Sus scrofa: one gene and its partner. The protein of the gene in region 2 purifies or fractionates together with the protein of the main gene of each other region. This does not show direct contact. Links are inferred from orthologs where the notes say so. Each region holds a gene or a part of one and is shown on either strand. Other genes may lie near its edges.

What was found. The genes of interacting proteins can lie anywhere in the genome.
Region 1: the proteins of STX11 (region 2) and VAMP8 purify together in Homo sapiens (co-immunoprecipitation; 3 studies listed by BioGRID and IntAct, counting the BioPlex papers as one, with this or other methods). This does not show direct contact. The link is inferred for Sus scrofa from reciprocal best matches to the Homo sapiens genes STX11 and VAMP8.

Annotation. Positions count from the first base shown.
Region 1 is NC_010445.4:59,189,869-59,194,544, forward strand, and holds the start of VAMP8 (vesicle-associated membrane protein 8), read right to left. Parts: upstream 3,298-4,676; 5' UTR 2,884-3,297; coding exon 2,881-2,883; intron 938-2,880; coding exon 779-937; intron 1-778. UniProt on the Homo sapiens protein: SNAREs, soluble N-ethylmaleimide-sensitive factor-attachment protein receptors, are essential proteins for fusion of cellular membranes.
Region 2 is NC_010443.5:21,167,522-21,171,754, forward strand, and holds the start of STX11 (syntaxin-11), read right to left. Parts: upstream 2,801-4,233; 5' UTR 2,412-2,800; coding exon 2,342-2,411; intron 1-2,341. UniProt on the Homo sapiens protein: SNARE that acts to regulate protein transport between late endosomes and the trans-Golgi network.

The DNA of each region.
Region 1 (4,676 bases), on a different chromosome or scaffold from region 2:
CATCGATGAGGACACGGGTTCGATCCCTGGCCTTGTCCAGTGGGTTAAGGATCTGCCATTGTTGTGAGGGGCAGTGTAGGTTACAGATCCAGCCTGGATCCCAAGCTGCTGTGGCTGTGGCTGTGGCCAGAGGCAACAGCTCTGATTGGACCCCTAGCCTGGGAACTTCCATATGCTACAGGTACCAGATGGCCTAAAAAAAAAAAAAAAAAAAAGATGTGGGAGATATTATTCTAGCCTTTAGCTAGCAGAGAACCCTGGATCAAAGACTTTTACTGCTTTTCCCACCTTCTTTTTAAAGCTGGCTCAGCAAGATTCTTAACAGTTTTCCACCACCTGCCTAACAACTCCTGGGGAAGGCCTAGAGCCCTAAGAGGATTTTCTGGAGCCAATATTTTTGCCCTGGGGAAGGCCAGATCCAAATGATTGTCAAGGGCAGCCTTCAAAGGGAAAGTCTCCTAGGAGAGAAGCCTCAGAAGACACAGGCTGACTGAGCCATCCATTTGTCTCAGGAAATGCCTCCATGGGTCCGCACCCACCTCCACCCTCTCCATGCACCCCAGCCCCAGTCCTTGAACCCATTCCCTGGACCCCAGCACCAATCAGTGGAGTAGAGCAGAATCAGAAGTGGGGAATCTGCTCCCATCAATTCCCAATGCAGGTGAAAAGGCAGACTGCCCTCCTGAACATCTGCCACCAAGACAGCCAATCCCCAAACCCCCAAGAATCTTCCTTCCCCCTCTTCCTCTGGCCCCCAGTAGGCTCCCCATTGTCTCACTGTGGCTTCCAGATCCTCTGTCTTGTTGCGGAGATGGTCCAAGTTTTCTCCCCGGGCCAGGATCCGCTCCACATTCTGGGTCATAATATTCTTGACTCCCTCCACTTCACTCCGCAGGTTCCGCACGCGGTCATCCCCTCCACCGCCACTGGCCTCCTCCTGGGCAGCAACAAAACGGTTAATTAAGCCAAGTGGTGGAGGGACTGAGACTCAGCCTCAGAGGCCAGAGGAGGGGGAGGCCTAAGATGGACTTAAGCTTTTGTAATGCTTGAACTATTTACAAAGAGAAGGTTTTCTGCTAAGTATGCATGTAATAAAAAAACAAATGCAGGAGTTCCCGTCATTGTGGCTCAGCAGAAACAAATCTGACTAGCATCCATGAGGTGGCAGGTTCGATCCCTGGCCTTGCTCAGTGGGTTAAGGATCCAGCATTGCTGTGGTGGTGTAGGTCACAGACTTGGCTTGGATCCCACGTTGCTGTTGCTGTGGCTGTGGTGTAGGCCAGCGGCTATAGGTCTGATATGACCCCTAGCCTGCAAACTTCCATATGCCAAGGGTGCAGCCCTAAAATAAAAAGATTTAAAAAAAAACAGGATTTTGGAGTTCCCGTTGTGGCACGGTGGTTAACGAATCCAACTAGGAGCCATGGGGTTGCAGGTTCAGTCCCTGGCCTTGCTCAGTGGGTTAAGGATCTGGCGTTGCTGTGAGCTGTGGTGTAGGTTGCAGACATGGCTCAGATCCTGCATTGCTGTGGCTGTGGTGTAGGACGGCGGCTACGGCTCCAACGAGACCCCTAGCCTGGGAACCTCCATATGCCGCGGGAGTGGCCCTAGAACAGGCAAAAAGACAAAAAAATAAAATAAAATAAAGCATCTGGAGTTCCCCAGTGGCTCAGGAAGTTAAGGATCTGGTGTTACCACTGCTGTGGCTCTGGTTACAGCTGAGGCTTGGGTTTGATCCTTGGCCTGGGAACTTCCACATGCCATAGGGCACAGTGAAAAAAACCTACATGTTTAAGCCCCAGATGGTAAAGAGCCATGCTAGGAGACATTGAATCAAACCTCTTTGTGGGTTCTCAGGGTGCATGACAAATACCACTACCAAACCCCTCTCCACTGCTTCTTTTCCTCAAAGAGGGTTCCAGGAGACAGCTGAGCTGGCATTTCACAGTGCACAGCCCCACTGCTCCTCACCAACTCTCAAATCCCATAGGGTCCTCAGTAAAAATGCCTGTGCCAGCCCGCAGACCACCCTCACCCAGCTCAACTCTCCCTCTCTCTCCGGACCTCCTGGGCAGCCTGATGGCTGTGACCCAGAACAACAGCCACCAGGCTACAAGTCCCTCACAAGGCCCCACCAGAGAGCCGTTGGGCCACAAACTTCTGCTTTCCCCACCATTTAGCGTCATGAGCCGGCACCACGCCACTGCCTGCTTAAGCAAGTATAAAATAAAAACAGCAGCCTGGGCGTTGGGGGAAATGGAGGGCAAGTTCTTCCTGGCCTGATGCCTCATCCCCAGGCTTTATGATAAGGTTTTTGAACAGGGAGGGAGAAACTCCCTCCCTGACCCACTAGACTTCTGGTGTGGGTCCAAACGAGACACTCACAGAAAACCCACTTCTGACTTTCAAACCCTTAGCTCTCTTCCTCACGTTAATGGAGATGAGCTAGATTCCTTGGATTCAGGGGAGAGACACATTCTTTGCGTTTCTGTACAAGAATAGAGAGAAAGGCAAGGGGGATTCCGCCGCTGGGCTGGAACCTGCGACGGGAACAGCAGAGGCGCTGCCCAGGAATGTCACAACACCCGCGGGCCCGCCGGCTGGAGAAGGAGAAGAATTAGGACTCCCCCACCCCCACCGGAGCCCCCCTCCCGGCCGGCTCCGGGGTCAGGGGAGGGAGGGAGCGAAGAAGGAGCAGGAACACCCGCCCAAGGCAGCTCCGAACTATTTGCAGACGAACTGTCAAAGAAGACAGGCCACAGCGCTGGCTCGGCCCTCTGGACTTTGCCACTAACTTTCCTTTGCTGATCCCCAGCCCTCCCCCTCGAACCCTCTGGCTGGGCTTGAAATCAGCCCCTTCTTAGTCTCCAGCTCTCTCACCATGTCTCCGAGCGGCTGGGGCCTGGCGGCAGCAGAACTCGCCTAAATCGGTTTCCTCCCGGGCGGCCGTCGGTTCACTTCCTGCTTGTCCAACTTTCAGCCCGCCCCCGCCCACCTCGCATCCCGAGCCGCTCCGGCCACACCTCGCGCAGGTTCCCCAGGTAGGCGGGCACCCTCCACAGCCCTCCCAGTCTCCTCCCCTGCCAGGGCTTAGGCTTAAAGCCACAGGGCTCCCTGGCACCACAATTCTTCTCACGTATCAGGAACCAGGGAAAAAAAGATCAGGCAGCCCTCCTAGGTTTACTGACGTAGAAAGGGCAGCCATCTCCTCCCCCTCCCGCTTTTTTTGGCCGCCTCACGGCACATGGAATTCCCAGCCGACCAAAGCAGCCTGCGGCAACGCTGGATCCTTAACCCACTGTGCTGAGCTGGGGATCAAACCTGCGTCCTGGAGCTGCAGAGACGCTGCCAATCCTATTGCACCACAGCGGGAAGTCCCGCTTCTTTTTCTAAAGTCCTGAATATCTGACCCTCAATTCTTGGAGATTGAACTCAACTTTCAGCACCTTGTTCGCATGGGAACAGGATGCAGAGATGAACACTTTCTGGACAGACCTTGCTCCCAAGTCTGTTTTAGTGTAGAAAGCACTAAAACCCCCAGAGTCTGGAATGCTGGGATTCTGGGCTCTGGTGTCAGAAGGCTGCAGACCCTGAGTGAACCTCTGCCTGTCTGGGTTTTGCAGGTGCTGACGCTGACCTCAGAGGGTGGTGGTGAGGAATAAAAGGATAGAACATAGCATGTGCCTAGCACAGTGTCTGGAACCAAGGGCTGCCCACTGCTGGAATCAGGAAATGATGGCTCACCAACCCCCCTTTCCTTCCAGAGTTCAACAGTCCTGCATGTACGTCTCTTCAGGAGCCACCATGTGGGTTGGTGAGCCCTGTCAGAAACAGTCAGACGACTGCCCTATGGAGCAGGAAAAGGGGCCCAGGGCAAAGGATTTTTCCACCAACCTGGCTCCAGGCCAGAGAAAATCCACTCTTCCTGGATGGTGTTTATCAAGACAGAAGAACAATAACAGGGACGTGCAGAAGGGAACAAACATTCCTGTCCCATCCCAGAAGAGGTAACAGTTCCAAGAGGGAAATGTTAGTTTCTCTGACAAATGCTTTTTTAAAGAGTCTCATACATTTTGGACCTCTGGAGCATTTTGAGACCCTTAATTTTAATTTATAATGAAACCTTCTTCCAATTAGATAAGATTATTATCTTCTGCAGCTCTGAAATTTGGTGCATAGTAACAGCCTGCTTTCAGAGAATGTGGCTCCTGGACTCCTCAGCATCCTTAGAAAGGCTACAATGTGGCCAAGAAGAGGGAGGTCAGAACCTTTGATCTGTACTTGCTGCTGTCTAGTACAGTAGCCTTGGACCACAAGTGGCTGTTCAACATTTGAAATGTGGCTAGTCTGAACTCTGATGAGATTTAAGAGTAAATGAAACACACACACGGATTTCAGGTGTTCCCTTTGTGGTGCAATGGAAACAAATCCAACTAGGAACCATGAGGTTGCGGGTTCAATCCCTGGCCTTGCTCAGTGGATTAAGGATCCGGCATTACCGTTAGCTGTGGTATAGGTTGCAGATGCGGCTCGGATCCCGCATTGCTGTGTCCGTGGCACAGACTGGCAGCTGTATTCCAATTAGACCCCTAGGCTGGGAACCTCCATATGCCATGAATGTGGCCCTAAAAACAAAACAAACAAAAAACCCCCACAGATTTCAAAGACTTATTATG
Region 2 (4,233 bases):
TTCTACCACCTTCTGTCCTGATCTCAACCCTGGGAGGTTGAGCTGAATGGTTTATAACAGGCTCCTAGGTCCTTTGGCTCCCCTTGGGCTTGGACAGTAGGGAGCTCGTACAGGAGAGCAGAAGCAGGGGATGTGAGGTCAGGAAATTTATTCCCAACAGAAAGGCTGTCTGTGTCTCTCAGGATCAGGTCCCTGTTCCTCTAAAGTGTCCTGTTCTACATGATTCTCTCTGTCTTGGTTCCAGACCCCTCTCTCTACTCATGAGTCTCAAGCCTGGGGTACTATGGTTCCTACCTGCCTAACACCTTTAAAATAGTGCCCTTATTCATAAACCTTCCTTGAATTATTCTAATTTGAATGTGCCTTCTGTTTCACAAGGAGACTCTAACACAGGCAGCATCCTTAAAGGGGAGCCAGCTCTTGAACGTTTATACTTCGAGTCTACGGAAATCTTCCCTGATGATATTTTCATCTTATTTAAATCCATTGGTTAGCTTTTTTGAAGAAACAAGGTGGTATGCCATACAATATGAAATTTTCTCTGGTACGCTCAGACTAAAAAGATCTTCTCAGGTTCACAGGAAAATCATTTTGCGTATAGCTTCAGTCCGTAAAATGTAATTTATGTAAATATAGAAATAAGGTTTTATAAAGTAAATAGGTAAATTTTTAAGGTTTCCAAAGGCTTGTGTGTAACTCGTTACCTCAGTACTTGAAACAAGCTATCATTTTTCAATATACACAGCTTACCAGAGAACACAGTTTCTAACCCTTTCCTAAAATACTGAGTGTTTCTGTCCCCCTAAAATCCTTGCGTTAAAACCTGGTCCCCAGTGCAATGGTATTGAAAGATGGAGCCTTGGGAGGTGATTCAGTCATGAAGGTTGGAGCCCTCAAGAGCTGGATTAGTGCCCTCGTAGAAGAGGCCCCAGAAAGCTCTTTGGCCCCTTCTGCTGTGTGGGGACATAGGAAGAAGATAGCCATCTGTGAACCAGGAAGCGGGCTCTCACCAGACACCAAATTCGTCGGCACCTTGATCTTAGATTTCCCAGCCTCTGAAACTGTGAGAAATAAATTTCTGTTGTTTATAAGCCACCCAGTCTGAGTATCTTTGCCTGGCGTGTAGCCCAACCAGATTAAAATACCTTTGAAGCTCACAATTTAAACGTACAATTATTAGCAGACAGCAGATCATTAAAAAATAAATAAATAAACCCCATAATGCTAATACTCTTATCAAAGATAACCAACACTTATCATTTGGTTACAATGTGCCAAGCACGGTGTTAACATTTTCATATATTATCTTGTTTGATTTGCATCACGAATGTACAAGGTATGCACAACTCACCCGCATTTGACAAAGGAGGAAATGAGCCTTAAAATCTTCTGTCCACTGTCCCAGCACCAAGAAGCAAAGGACCCTAGATTCAAATCCTAGTGTCCAACATGAAAAGCTATGTTTTTAACGACCAATACAGCATCTAAGAGCAACATTAAAGACTAGAGAAGAACCAAAAGCTAAGAATGTTCCAAAGCCAATGACTTATTTCATTTGGTTACCTGCATTCAGAAAGCAATGTCAACATCGCAGTAAGCTTAGAAAAATTGCTAACAACAAAAAAGAATGCAACAGAGAACTCTCAGAGAAAAGCAAACCTCTTGTTCAGGAAGCTTATTTTTCTGTGCATGGTACACAAGAAGGGGTAAAAAATGAGGATGGAAATGGAACTATTTTGGTATTAGTTAAATTTTATCCTTGCCTACAGTTCCTGAAATTATACTATTATATTTTTATTTTAACCCAAATTGCCATGAAATGAAAACTTTCCTCTGACATAGTGGCGTATTTGTTGCAAGGGGCCTGAAGTTTAACATGTATTGGCTACTCTATGCATACCAATAGAACATATGCTGTGAAAGAGAATGGGCTAAAAAAAAAAAAAAATCTGGTCTAGAAATAGTATAATGGATCTGTTTCATAGCTCTTAATGCAACCGAGATTTTGCATAACAACTTGCGAAAGTATTTTAGGATGAGACTGTTGCTTAATACTCACTTTTGGTAAACCCTTTTTTGCACCATAGCCCTGTCCTGCGGAACTGATAAAAGTGAAACAGAAAAAGCACAAACAGAATGTAACAAATAAGCCATGCCTTTTACAGATACTATTTAGTCATAAGCCTACTGCTTTTGCATTTGAATACTTAAATTAGTTCTCAAAAGTGTAGCTTTCACCAGTAGACTAACCAGTTTTTTTTACATCCATGTTTTGTTCATTTAGAAGAATCTGTGCTATCCATTTATAAACTTTATATTTCTACAGCAAAAAAAGCCTTACTTTGGGATGGAGACATGGTTTTCTTCTCTTTTTCTTCTTCATCCATTCCATCCTCTTGCTGCAGCTCCATGTCTTTATTCCACTTATTTTTCCCTTTAACACACTCTGATTCCTTCTTCAGAGATGGCTTATAATTCCTATGAGTTCATGGGTTACAACCAGCCTTCTTCCAGGACCCAAAGGAAATTTAAAAGTACCATATTGGCACCCCAAAAAATAAACATGTTTCAAATGAATGTTTTAAAGATGAATTTAGTAAAAAGCGATACAGTCAAAATAGATACAGTAGAAACAGAAGTGTGAGCAGTGAACTCACAGATTCAATGGACAGTCTTTCCCTGAGTGTATCTGCTCTTGGGATGATGATCTTGTTAAGAAGAACTCTGAGAAGTCGACAGATGTTCTTCTTGGTCTCCAGCTCCTTGCCTTATGGACGTGCCCTTGTGTGATCCTTGGTAAGAGGTGGCACGGCCTTGCCTCACTGGGTGTTGAAAGCAGCCTGCTCTATTTGATTTCTGGAAACCCTCTTTTCTACAAGTTGATGATGGCAAAGGTGAATTATGAAACAGGAACTTTTGCCACAACTCAACATCCCTAGTCACAAAGAAACATTTATAAAACAAATGCCCTCATGCAGATTGAAACTTATAATTGATTACAGTGCAAATATGGGTGCTGGACATAATCTATTCATACCTTGTTTCTTTCATGGTCCTAGTACATTATCTCTCCAACTTAAGTAATGAGCACACCCCTCTTCAAGAGAAACAGATTATGTGGTACCAAGTATTGACAATTTACCTGAATGTAAGTACAAGGTACCTTACATAAACATGGCATAAATGCCTTATGACTACAGACTCTTTAAAAAACTATAATCTAGGAGTTCCCGTCGTGGCGCAGTGGTTAACGAATCCGACTAGGAACCATGAGGTTGCAGGTTCGGTCCCTGCCCTTGCTCAGTGGGTTAACGATCCGGCGTTGCCGTTAGCTGTGGTGTAGGTTGCAGACGTGGCTCGGATCCCGCGTTGCTGTGGCTCTGGCGTAGGCCGGTGGCTACAGCTCCGATTCAACCCCTAGCCTGGGAACCTCCATATGCCGCGGGAGCGGCCCAAGAAATAGCAACAACAACAACAACAAGACAAAAGACAAAAAAAAAAAAAAAACCAAAAACCAAAAAAACTATAATCTAGAAACCAAACCAGATCCAAGCCAATCTACACATTACAAATATAAAATTAATGATATTAAAATAAACAACATCTGAAGTTCCTGTCACGGCTCAGTGGAAACGAACCTGACTAGTATCCATGAGGATGAAGGTTCAATTCCTGGCTTTGCTTAGTGGGTTAAGGATCTGGTGTTGCTGTGAGCTGTGATATAGATTACAGATGTGGCTTGGATCTGGCATTGCTGTGTTGTGACGTAGGCCAGCAGCTGCAGCTCCAATTCCACCCCTAGGCTGGGATCCACCATATGCTGCAGGTGCAGCCCTAAAAAGACAAAATAAATAAATTAATATGCTATACTATAATATAATATAATACAATATAATATAAAACTACATCAGTTTAATGCTTTTTGATGAAGCAAAACCATGAATGTTTGTTCCAGAAGTAGAAAGGTGCAATGGGGTATTTTCTATTTCGCTTATCTCTACGACTCTCTTTATTTTGGAAACAATACTCATTTGAATGATCCTCCTGGTTAATGCTATGATTTTTCCTTTTAAACTATGCATTCATCTTGAATCATCAAGTCACATTTTTTTTCAGCTTTACTGAGGTATAATTGACAACATTGTAAGAAATTTAAAGTATGCAATAGTGGTGATTTGATATATGTATATCTTGTAAAAAGTTTTGTTTTTTTTTTTTTTACCATTTAGTTAT